2 linked regions of the Sus scrofa genome follow. The protein of the gene in region 2 purifies or fractionates together with the protein of the main gene of each other region. This does not show direct contact. Links are inferred from orthologs where the notes say so. Each region holds a gene or a part of one and is shown on either strand. Other genes may lie near its edges.

Region 1 (6,011 bases), on a different chromosome or scaffold from region 2:
AGCCTTTGACTGAAAAGAGCAATTTCAATCTAGAATTAAATTGAGACAGTGAGGTCCTCAGCTGATAATATAAACTCAAGCAACATGAAATCAAAGTACAATTACAGCAAATCTAAAAAAGAATTCTGAAAACTTCCTCATCCACTTGGCAGAACATACTTTTTTTTAAAAACACACCATTGACTTACTTCAACGCGGCAGGACTTGAGAGAGAGGTCTAGCCTAACTTAATTCTAGACCACAAAGAAACACTACCTCTAAGTGCTTCCATGATGGGCTGGACCGTCTCGGACCACTGGTGGGCGTTGATGGTGCTGTAGACGCCAGGGAAATCCCTCTGCCAGATTCTCTGTCCCACTGACCAAATCCCCCCAAGTTCAGAATTTGCCTGCAAGAAACATCACTGCCTCTGAGAATATGCACTCTGCAGACATAACAACAGCTGTATCTTAAAAGATAACTCGGCATTTAAAAAGTGTAATTACTTTTTCACCCCAATCACTGTCAAAGGGCTTTAAACGCTGTGAATGGTACTGTAAAATTTATTTGCACATTTTCTACGGATTTTTGTTATAATAGAAAATGAAGGCACAAGAAGGCATTCCAAAAATAGTCCAGAAGTAGTCCAGGAATTGGTTACCTTAAACACTTTTTAAAAAGATTTTTATTTATATTTACAGATATACAGATTTCTATAACATCCAACAGAAATTACAATTTCTCATCAGAGGAATTTATAGATCTGTTCATAAACTTTATTACCAGTTTAATAACTACTTCTGTGAGCCACAAGGAAAAGAAAACAAACTTTTACGAGACTGCTTTTTGTTTTGGGGGTTTCTGGTTGCACTCGCGACATGCGACATGGGCGAGTTCCCGGGCCAGGGGTCAAAGCTGCGCACAGCAGCAACCCGAGTGGCCGCAGTGACGACGCAGATTCCCATGCTGAGTCACAAGAGAATTCGTAAGACACTGCTTTTGGGGGGTTGGGGGGCACACCTGAGGCCTATGGAGGTTCCAGGCTAGGGGACGAATCAGAGCTGCAGCTGCCGGCCTACACCACAGCTACAGCCACACAGGATCCGAGCCCGTCTTTGACCCATGTCACAGCTCATGGCAGCGCTGGATCCTTAACCCACCGAGCAAGGCCAGGGATCAAACCCGTGCCCTCATGGATGCTGGTCGGATACGCGACCGCTGAGCCACAAGGGGAACTCGCTGAAACTGCTTTTTAAGTGAATGTCATTACTACAGTAAAGTAGTAAGATTCATCACAAGAGTACTTACCGACTTTATAGCGGGTGGTATTCTTTTCCAAAGGTATCTTGCATTATTCCTAATTTATATCCCCCAAGAAAGAAGAAGCAATTTAGAAAAATCATCCTAGTAAATGTCTAAAATTCTAGATCCCACTGCAAACACACACAAGTATACTCTGAAATACTCTACGTTAAACAGGGTGAAATTTAGTTGTACATGACTTTGTCCAGGTGAAATGAGAGCGGTTTCCCAGATAAAAAGACATGAAATATTTTACCAAAGTAACATTTTGCCATTTTTAGTGAATTTTTAAATTAATAATCCAGATCTTAAATTAAGGTTACAGTACAAAGACTTAAAGAGGACTACCTAAATAATTTAGTCATATATAAAAATAAACAGATTCATACACTTTCAAGGCACTGCTGTTCCCTGACAGTATACAGGTACACAGTGCTTTTCTCCATCTCATGACCCTTCCTCCTACCAGTGGCTACAGAGCCACCACACCTTCAAGGCAGGATTTTTTGGTTTCTTTTTTTTTTTTTTTTTTTTAAGAGTTTGGAATCTTGAACGATAACAAACATATAATGACATGATTATAAAACAAGAAACATAATTTATACAATAGATGAGTAATAAAAATCTCAGTTTAGTTTAAAAGATGCCAAATAAGAAGGTTTACAAGAATTTTAAAACAAAACTGAACAGTAATCATGGCTTTCAGAACATAAGGACTCTTTTTTGCGCAGTTATACTGACTTGTCTTCAATGAACGTGAATGAGGAATAATTAAAAACAAAACCTTTCAAGAAATCGCATACATGACAGTAACAAATTCCTCTTAGCTCTCTCAATTTTCCCTTTCGGTTTCTCTTAGTCTATCGATCACATGTGACATTAAGTAAACAGGTCATAAAAGACAGACATTTCATAACAAAACAAAAGAGAAGAGACTAACAGATTTAAAGGAATTTACTGACACTGTAGTTCATCGTAACAGATTGAAAAATTTTAAGAAAGATATAAGAAAAGAAGTGCATTTTAACTCAGCCTAATCACGATTTAAGCCATGATTCAGTATATGAAATAAATATACTATTACAATAAAATGTAAAGCTCCTTCTGTCTATGTTTTAGTGATGCTACTTCAACGCAAGAATAATTTCTTCAGGAAGCTGTTTCTCTTAGCTTTAGGTAGAAAGTACTTACATGTCATTATGGAGCAGATATAAAGCTAGAAGCTGACCATACACTGGAGGTGTAGCAATTCCTCCTGGAGCCTTTAAAGCCAAAAACAAAAGAGAAAAAGCTCATTTATTTGTATACTTTTGTATTTTTCAAAGCATCTAAAAAGTAAGCATATTTCATAGTACTTACCCTTACAGATGGAGAAAAAGAGAGTGTCACACACTAAAAGCCAGAGTGATAAGTTTAGATCTGTCACCAGCTATGAATTATCTCCCTCTGGGCCACTGAGTTTATATATGCACGGGAACATTTCAGTGGGATCCCTTTCCCAGTTCTCAAATTCTTATTTAAATGGCCTTACTGTTACAAGAGTATTTCCCACAGATTCCTCAAGTATGATGATTCTGCCCGTTACACCAGGTATGTTGAAAATCTAGGTAAGTGAGTAACGAAGAGAGAAATGTCACAGCTGAATGACGAAGACGTTTCTCTCCTTGTTCAACTTTATTCAGAAAATCATCTGTTAAGTGTCTATTAGTGAGCTGCTGCTTCTGGCAGTAGTCTCTTTGGGTTAATTAACTTTTTATACTGATACTGTACATGCTTGTAAGTGCCTTTCTAAGAAAATTAAAAAAAAAAAAAAAACCCTTACTGTTAAGACCTTCGTGAAATAATTTCACCAGTCCTAATGAAGCTAAGACGGCAAGCTTCCGCGACATGAGACTAAGGACTTTCCGAGTTAGGAACAGGCTACAACGCGCACACAGACTCCCTCACCTCTCCCCACGACGGGGAGGAAACATCTTTAACCCGAGAAGCATATTGGAGAGTGTTAGGAGCAAAGACGCACAGCATTTTCGGGCTCACTGGCTGAAGACAAAACAACAAAAAGCCCCCAGCAAGTTCGGGGAGGCGAGGCCTGGATGCTCAGCCAGGAGCAGGCCCGGCGTCCCGGGCTCCACACGCCCGGCCCCGCGCCCGCCCCAGCCCGGCGGGCCCTGGGCCTCGGGCCCCGTTACCCTGGAGACCGGCGCCGCACAAGGCCACGCGCGACCCCGAAAGGCGAATGGCTACCTCCAGCTCCTGGTTCTCGCACTGATCCAGCAACTTTTTGAAATTAAAGGCACTTTCCGCCATCACCGCCACTGGCATCTTCCCGGCCGGTCCCGCCGCCGTACCTCCCCTTCTAGCTGGACCCCAGACTTGTCCCTCCGGGCGTCGCGCCCGCGATGACGTAAAAGCCGCCGTCGCCGCCGAGCTCCCGTGCGCAGGCGCATCATCGGTTCCGGCGCGTCATTAGACGTCGCTGCGGCCTGGCGGGGTCGCTGCCGCTCTGGCCCGTGCACTCTATGTCCTGGAGGACTCGCCTGGCGTCTGGGGACGCGGCTTTCGGAGCCAGGGAGGGCGGGGACTGGGGCCGGTCTGCGGACTCTTCGCTGCCTTTACTCTGAGGCCACGGAAATTTTAAAGTTCAAAACCCAGCTTTCGGTTCCTCCCCCCGCCTCCTCCTTCAGCAGCCCTCCCGCTTCGGTGCAGGCGGTGCGGTCCTTCCTGGGGGCTCCCCTCCTGCAGGCCCCCCATCCGAGAGCGGCTGCGCCAGCGTGGACCACCCGACAGGGCCTGAGCTCGGTCCTCTCCGGACCTCACTCCGCCTCCCTCCAGGCTACTCCCGGACAGCCACCGCAGCCAAAATGATGCTTTTTGAAACCTAAGTCGTCTTGTTATTCTTCTGCTCAAATCCCTAACAATCCAGAGTCTTTGGCATCGCTCACAGATCAAATCCCCAGATCCCTCCGACTTGCTCCAGCCATCCTGGCCTCCTCAGTTTTCTGCGCAGTCCTAACGAACGTTGTATGGTGCGTTATTTATTTATACTTTGGTTTGCTGCCCTTGCCTAGGCCGCCCTGCTGCAGGGTCAGCCGCAGGATTTGTGAGCCCAAAGCAAATTGAAAACGCACATCACTAGTTCAAAAAGCAGAAGGGAAATTACCCGTAAAGGCTATAGAATCTAAAGCTTTTCCCTTATTCCGCAGTGTTTCAACTTTTCATAGCATTCTAAAGTTTGCTATTTAATATTCTAAGAAAGGGAAAAAGCAAAAATTTCAATTATTAGCATGCATCTTACCATCTGTCTTTATATTATACGAAGCCAATTTTAAAGGCGAATATAAGTGCATTTAACTCATGTGGAATCACAGAAATCACACAATTGGTAGACGTAACACTTTGTTTGTACTTAAGCTGGGTCTTGCTGAATTCCTATCATTTGGGGTCGACTGGGAATTCTGCATTCATGGGGTATTTTAAACACTGTGGAGGGCAGAAAACGCATACCTCAATCATCTCTTTGAGTGTCTGTCCTCCCTATGGACTTGCCAAACCCATACTCGAAGATAAAATTATTTAGGATTCCAAGACAGTGACGGTTTCACTGATTATTTTTGTAGAATCAACACTTTCCATGTGGAAATGGTTGTGTTTAGTTATGCTTCAGATAGAACATAGAGATAAGAAAAGCACTGCAAAAGTTGCTCAAAGAATTGCCAAAAACCTTAAATAGGAAGGTGTGCAAATAGCTGGTAGAACTCGAGATATTTTGGGGGAATGAAAGCAACACACTTTCATTCGTCCAAAAAAAGAAAAGAAAAGGGACTAAGGGTAAAATGATTCTGAGATCATTCGACAAAGTTTGAGGAACAAGATTTTGAATTTTCAACATGTGATAATGGCTCCCAGCCTATTTCTGGCCAAGAAAGATTTCATTGGGAAGATAGTTATTTCAGAACTCTGAAATTTCATTTCTTTTTTTTTTTTTTTTTTTTTTTTTTTTTTTTTTTTTTTTTTTACTTTATAGGGCCACATCTGTGGCATATGGAGGTTCCCAGGCTAGGGGTTGAATCGGACAGAGCTGGCCACAGCCAGAACACTGGATACCAAGCCATGTCTACAACCTATACTTCAGCTTGTGGCAACACCAGATCCTTGACCCACTGACTGAGGCCAGGGTAGAACTCGCATCCTCATGGATATTAGTTGGGTTTGTTACCACTGAGCCACAATGGGAACTCCTAGTGAAGCTTTAGAAATACAATCACAGGTGAGAGGTAGAGCTTGGGGTATTATTCTGAGGACGAAACTCTACTTTTTGTTTGTTTTTAATTTTATTTTTAAATTATAATCAATAGAAACTAACAGACAGGCACAGTGACTTGGGAACTGGTGGCTGGGAGCTGCAGAGGGAAGGAAGAGTCTTGGGAGTGGAGGGATGGAGTAAAAGGGTCTAAGGTGAGACTTGGCTTAGACATGGGGACCTCCAAGTGACGGTGAAGGGCTGCTGGATCTCCAGGTCTGCGCCGGCCAATACTCAGTTTTCGGTTGTTGCTGTATGATGCTTCCCTTATCTTTTTACCCCCCAAACTTTCAGTCATAGGAGAAGTGCAGGGGTGTGATAAAGGGCAGTGTGGGAAAGAAGGCCGTGATTTGGGGACGCAGCACTCAGAAGAGGCAGCACCCAGAGGAAGCTCTGGTCCCCAGAGAGGCTGACTCTGGGGTGGCAGGAG
Region 2 (4,699 bases):
AGGGCCGCGGTGCGGGTGATGAGGGGCCTCCCAGCGCGCCAGAGAAACGCTCCTCCTTCACGAGCGCGGGCCACGAGGCCACCGTAGGCGGCAGCTTCGAGGGGCCCATGCCAGAGGTGCCCTCCCGACCCCGCAGCCCGCGTGCCTGGCCCCGCCGCGCCCCACGCCGGGACTACAGTATTGACGAGAAGACGGATGCACTGTTCCATGAGTTCCTCCGCCATGACCCGCACTTCGATGATGCTCCGTCTGCAGCAGCACGCCACCGCGCGCGTGTGCATCCCCACACGCGCAAGCAGTGGCAGCAGCGGGGTAGGCAACACAGCGACCCTGGTGCGCGAGCTGCGGCCCCAGCCCCCTCTGGGGCACCAACCGGCGCCCCCCGCCCTGCGCGCGCACCCCTGCGCCGCGGGGACAGCGTCGACTGCCCACCAGAAGGCCGCGCAGGAGAGGACCCAGCTGCCCTCGCCATCCCCGTCATCGAGGAGGAGCCCGGCGGCGGCTGCCCAGGCTCTGGCCTGTGCACCGGGCCTCAGGGCGCTCTCCTGGACAAGCTGGCAGTCAGCCTCGACGACAGACTCTTCCCGCCGCGCCTGGCCCAGCCTGTCGCTGTGGCCCCTGCGCTGGCCGCAGCCGCGCCCACATCCCCCGACCACAGCCCCGTCTAAGTCTGTGTCCTGCGCCCACCTCGTCAGCTTATACAGCACGGGCGGGGCCTTGGCACCGGACACACCTGGGGCGCGACGCCCTGGTGCGCATGCGCTGGGACTGGGGGGCCTCGCGCACAAAGCAGTGCCCCAGGCGCCCCGCGCCGCCCCAGGATGCGCACGCACACAGTTCATACCGGGCATTTAGCTGGGTCGACTAGAGGGAGTGTGGCGGATTCTCATCTTCAGACTCCTGAAGACCACGTTCCGCTTCCCTTGGTCCTGGACAGCGACCTCGAGCTGGTGACTGAGCGTAGCACACACCACTGCCGCGTCTCGGGCCCATGGCGATGGGTAGCGCATGCGCAGCGCCTGCATCCTAGAGGGGCGATGCACAGCAACTGCGCTAGACGCATGCGCAGAGAGACCCCTCCCAGGACCAATTGGGCCTCGAGGCGCGCCAGAGTCCGCGCCAGGGCACAAGCACAGTGACTGCGGGGTGCCGAGGACCCTTGAAGAATGCATCCGCCCTGGGCTAGGAGGTTGGCCCAAGACCGCGGCCGCCAACCCCTTGAAGCCGTTTACCTCACCGCGGCGAGTGCTCGCAGCAGTCCGCGCCCCCTCCAAGCAATAACCGCATCTGCTGCTGCCATCCCCAGCCCTAGATACACCCTCCAGCCCTCCTCCCAGTGTCTGCATCCCGACGCCCGCCCTCTGCATGTTGGGTGGGCCGCACGCCCCTACTGCATCAATCCAAAGAGCCGCTAGGACTCACCACTGTTTCAGACACAAAATCCAAACGATCAAGGTTTCAAGTTTCCCAAGCTTTATTTATTGCCAAAAGATGGGGCAGCCCTCGCCAGCGGCCGAGTCGCCCTGCCCCGTCCCTTCCTTCGAAGCTTCGCACTGTCAGTGTGCCATCCAGTGATGGAGTTTGTGTTTTGTTTTCTGGTTGATTATATTTACTGCATACTCTTGCTGGCTCTGAGTTTTCTCATGGGATCCAAGAGCACAGAGGCCTTGGGGGGAAAGGGATCAGGATCTCCAGGCCACTGAACTGTGCAGCCATGGGCTCTGGAGCTTTCTGGAGGCTGGGTCACCAAGACAGCACAGAGATCCAACATGGCCAAAGGCCATGTCCCTACCAGGCACTACCAGCAAGACCTGCAGACCCCGGCCAGCCCCTCCACCACAGGATCTACAAAGGGCCCCAGGCTCAGACTCTGATCACCCACTTGATAATACATCCTGCCACCCACAATTCCCAAACATCCCTCATGACCACAACTCAAATCCACCTGTTTTATTTTTTCTTAAAAAAAAAAAAAAGAAAAAAGAAAAAAAGAAACAGGAACCAACCAAAACAACAAAACAAGGCAGCCGCCTGGCTCCCTTGGGCACTAGGCATGCATCTCAGTGGACAGGCCTGGTCGTCACGCCCATCCTGCTGCCGCTGTGGTTGGCTTGAACACATCACCAGGTGTGGGAGGCGCTAACGAGTGGCAGAGTAAAAAGAGGAGTCAGGGTGGGCGAGAACCAGTAGTCTCAACGTAAAGTGCATGGCAAAGGCTGGCTCGGGGCCACACCGGGCCCTCTCCCTCCTCCCCTGGCTGGGGGAGGGGGCTCAGCATAGGATTGCAGTCAGCAGGAGATCGTGTCCACCGGCCATCAGGGGAGGGACGGGCTCCAGTCTCTGCTGCCCCTAGCCACAGCCCTCTAGGACCCCCTGGCTTCTGAAGGGGCGGTCAGCACGAAGGGTGCAGCGTCGGCCTTCCTGGGGCGGTGGGCAGCAGACCAGCAGTAGGCAGGAAGACTGAGCAGGACCTGGCTGGGGCTCCTGGAGATAGGCTGAGACCAGGACAGAAAGTGGGTCACTTCTGGGTCAACACATAGGCTCTGCATCCCAAAAAACAGGCCCAACGTGGGCTCCCTGTAGGTTGGGGAAACCAAGGCCTGGTCACACAGTGCTGGGAGGTCACACAGTGCTGGGAGTGCCTGGGAGGGCTGCGCTGCCTCAAGGGACCACCCTCTGAATTACTTACTGCCTGGAGAGATTAAGCACTGCCCTTTCTCCACAGAACCAGGTTTCCCTCCAAAGCAGTTTCTACCGTGTCTGGCTGTTCTGAAGCTGGCAGAGAAGTACTTCCAGGGCAGCTCCGTGGGAGAGGGGATGTGGCTGGACAGAGGCTACAGCCTCAGACCCCCACCCTGCTGTTCACATCCTAAGCAGGCCATGGGGCCTGTAGTCCTTTAGGGCCTTTCAGGATGGGGGCAGGGCAAACAAAGGTGGGAGAAGGAAGCAGAGCAGGCAGCAACAACCAAGATGACAGCCACGGCCCCTCCCAGCCCCCAACCTCCCACCCACCCTACACAGCCCCTCCAAAGCCAGCAGCCCCCTGTCCTGGGAGCAGCCCACACTGGGGAAGGGCGAGCCACTCAGTTTTGCAGGACAGACTGTCATCTTAAGGGGCCCTTCTTCTGCACATGGGCTCCCCAACCCCACTGAGGGCCTGTAGCCCGCTAAAAGTGACCTTCCCCCACCTCCAACCCAGACCCCGTGGTGATAAGCAGACTGATGACTGTGAAGGGCAGAGCTGGCCATAGTCGGCAGTGGCCATGACAGTGACATAAGCCAAGTACTGGCAGTACCCACAGTGTGCCCCCAACTCAGTCCTGCTGGTCCCCATCATGTCCCACCTGGAGGCAGCCACCCTCACTGCTGCTTGCAGGCTGACAGCCGGCGGATCTTGCTGCTGGCCGAACAGGCCTTGCGGGTGGGGTTGGAGGTGGCGCTGGCCCGGCGCTCCGCTCTCGACTTGGCACTCAGCTGGACTGACTCGGTGCCGTTCACGCATACAGCCTTAGGCAGGCCCCGACTCTGTACGCTCCGACCTGCCTCCTCCTCCAGGACCTGTCCTAGGAGGGAGAGGGCGAGTGTGTGCTGACTGGGGGGCCCAGACCAACACACCCCCAGTGTCTCCACCTGCCCAGGCCCAGGTCACCTCCAGCCAGTGGGGCCCAGGCTCCTCCTCCACCTGACCTGTCCAGGGCCTGCCATCACGGTCCTAATGCAGGCAGAGGGAGAGCTGGTCTTAGAGCCAATTGGCCAGGGCCAGGCCCAGGCCCAGCCCACGCTCACCTGCCTGTTCAGGTATGGGCTGCACTTGGGCAGGCTCCAGGCTGTCCTGCTCACCCTTCACTGCGGGAACATGGTGAAGGACAGGGTCCTGCGCCCCAGCCTCTGTTCTCTCACCTGTGCAAAGGCCAAACCTTGCTGGACCCTGTGGGACTCAAAGGGGGTACATTTGGGCTGGGGTGCCGACCTCTCTCCCACAACAGCCCACCCTGGCTCTCCACACCAGGCACAAAGGGAGAGACAACACCTGCTGAGTCCCACCCCTACTGTGCAGGCAGACAGCCCTCAATTGCATCTGAGGGCCAATGGCCTGGGGCTGCCCACCCAGATATGTGCTCCTGGCAAGGCATGGGGCAGAGGGAGGGGTGCAGGGAGCCCATGTGCCTGCGCTGCCCAGCCTTCTCATGTGGACATCGGCAGGGACTGCCCTTAACCGCTTTGAGCCCTTCTCTTCTCCACACAGAGCCCTACCTCCGCCACTGGCATCCAGAGCCTGACTTGGTGGCCTCTGGAACTTGCTGGGAGCCTACTGGCATCACATAAAAAGCATTTCAGGTCAGAACTCAGAGTTCAGGATGGGAGAGGGTGAGTGGGAGAAGCCTCCTCTCAGCATATAGGAGGCTGCAGGAGCAGCAGGCACTGAATGTGACCACATGACTGGAACCGGAGTGGGAAGAGCCTTAGCCCTGGCACAGCTTGGCTGACCTACAAGCAGGTCAAAGAGAAGTGGCCGCCTAACCTCAGTGCGGGGCTCTCCCCTTTCTGGTGGGGAGTACTCCTGGGCCAGGCATCTGGCTCAGGCTCTGAGAGTCACTCCTGGACAAGCCCTCCCCGACCCAGGAAAGGCAGCCCCAAGCCTCTGGCACAGACCTGAAGCAAGTGGTCAGTGTGGGGACTGGTGGGGTCCTTACACGGT

Evidence for each region. The genes of interacting proteins can lie anywhere in the genome.
Region 1: the proteins of STK11 (region 2) and COPS8 purify together in Homo sapiens (affinity purification with mass spectrometry; 3 studies listed by BioGRID and IntAct, with this or other methods). This does not show direct contact. The link is inferred for Sus scrofa from reciprocal best matches to the Homo sapiens genes STK11 and COPS8.

What each region holds. Positions count from the first base shown.
Region 1 is NC_010457.5:136,825,955-136,831,965, reverse strand, and holds the start of COPS8 (COP9 signalosome complex subunit 8), read right to left. Parts: upstream 3,745-6,011; 5' UTR 3,604-3,744; coding exon 3,526-3,603; intron 2,544-3,525; coding exon 2,473-2,543; intron 1,337-2,472; coding exon 1,288-1,336; intron 389-1,287; coding exon 256-388; intron 1-255. UniProt on the Homo sapiens protein: Component of the COP9 signalosome complex (CSN), a complex involved in various cellular and developmental processes.
Region 2 is NC_010444.4:77,228,436-77,233,134, forward strand, and holds the end of STK11 (serine/threonine-protein kinase STK11), read right to left. Parts: exon of another isoform or gene 3,929-4,699; coding exon of another isoform or gene 3,897-3,928; exon of another isoform or gene 3,650-3,896; intron 3,564-3,649; coding exon 3,361-3,563; 3' UTR 3,345-3,360; intron 2,905-3,344; exon of another isoform or gene 2,690-2,904; intron 2,578-2,689; exon of another isoform or gene 2,496-2,577; 3' UTR 1,453-2,495; downstream 1-1,452. Other genes in the region: voltage-dependent calcium channel beta subunit-associated regulatory protein-like, read left to right, coding at 1-668. UniProt on the Homo sapiens protein: Tumor suppressor serine/threonine-protein kinase that controls the activity of AMP-activated protein kinase (AMPK) family members, thereby playing a role in various processes such as cell metabolism, cell polarity, apoptosis and DNA damage response.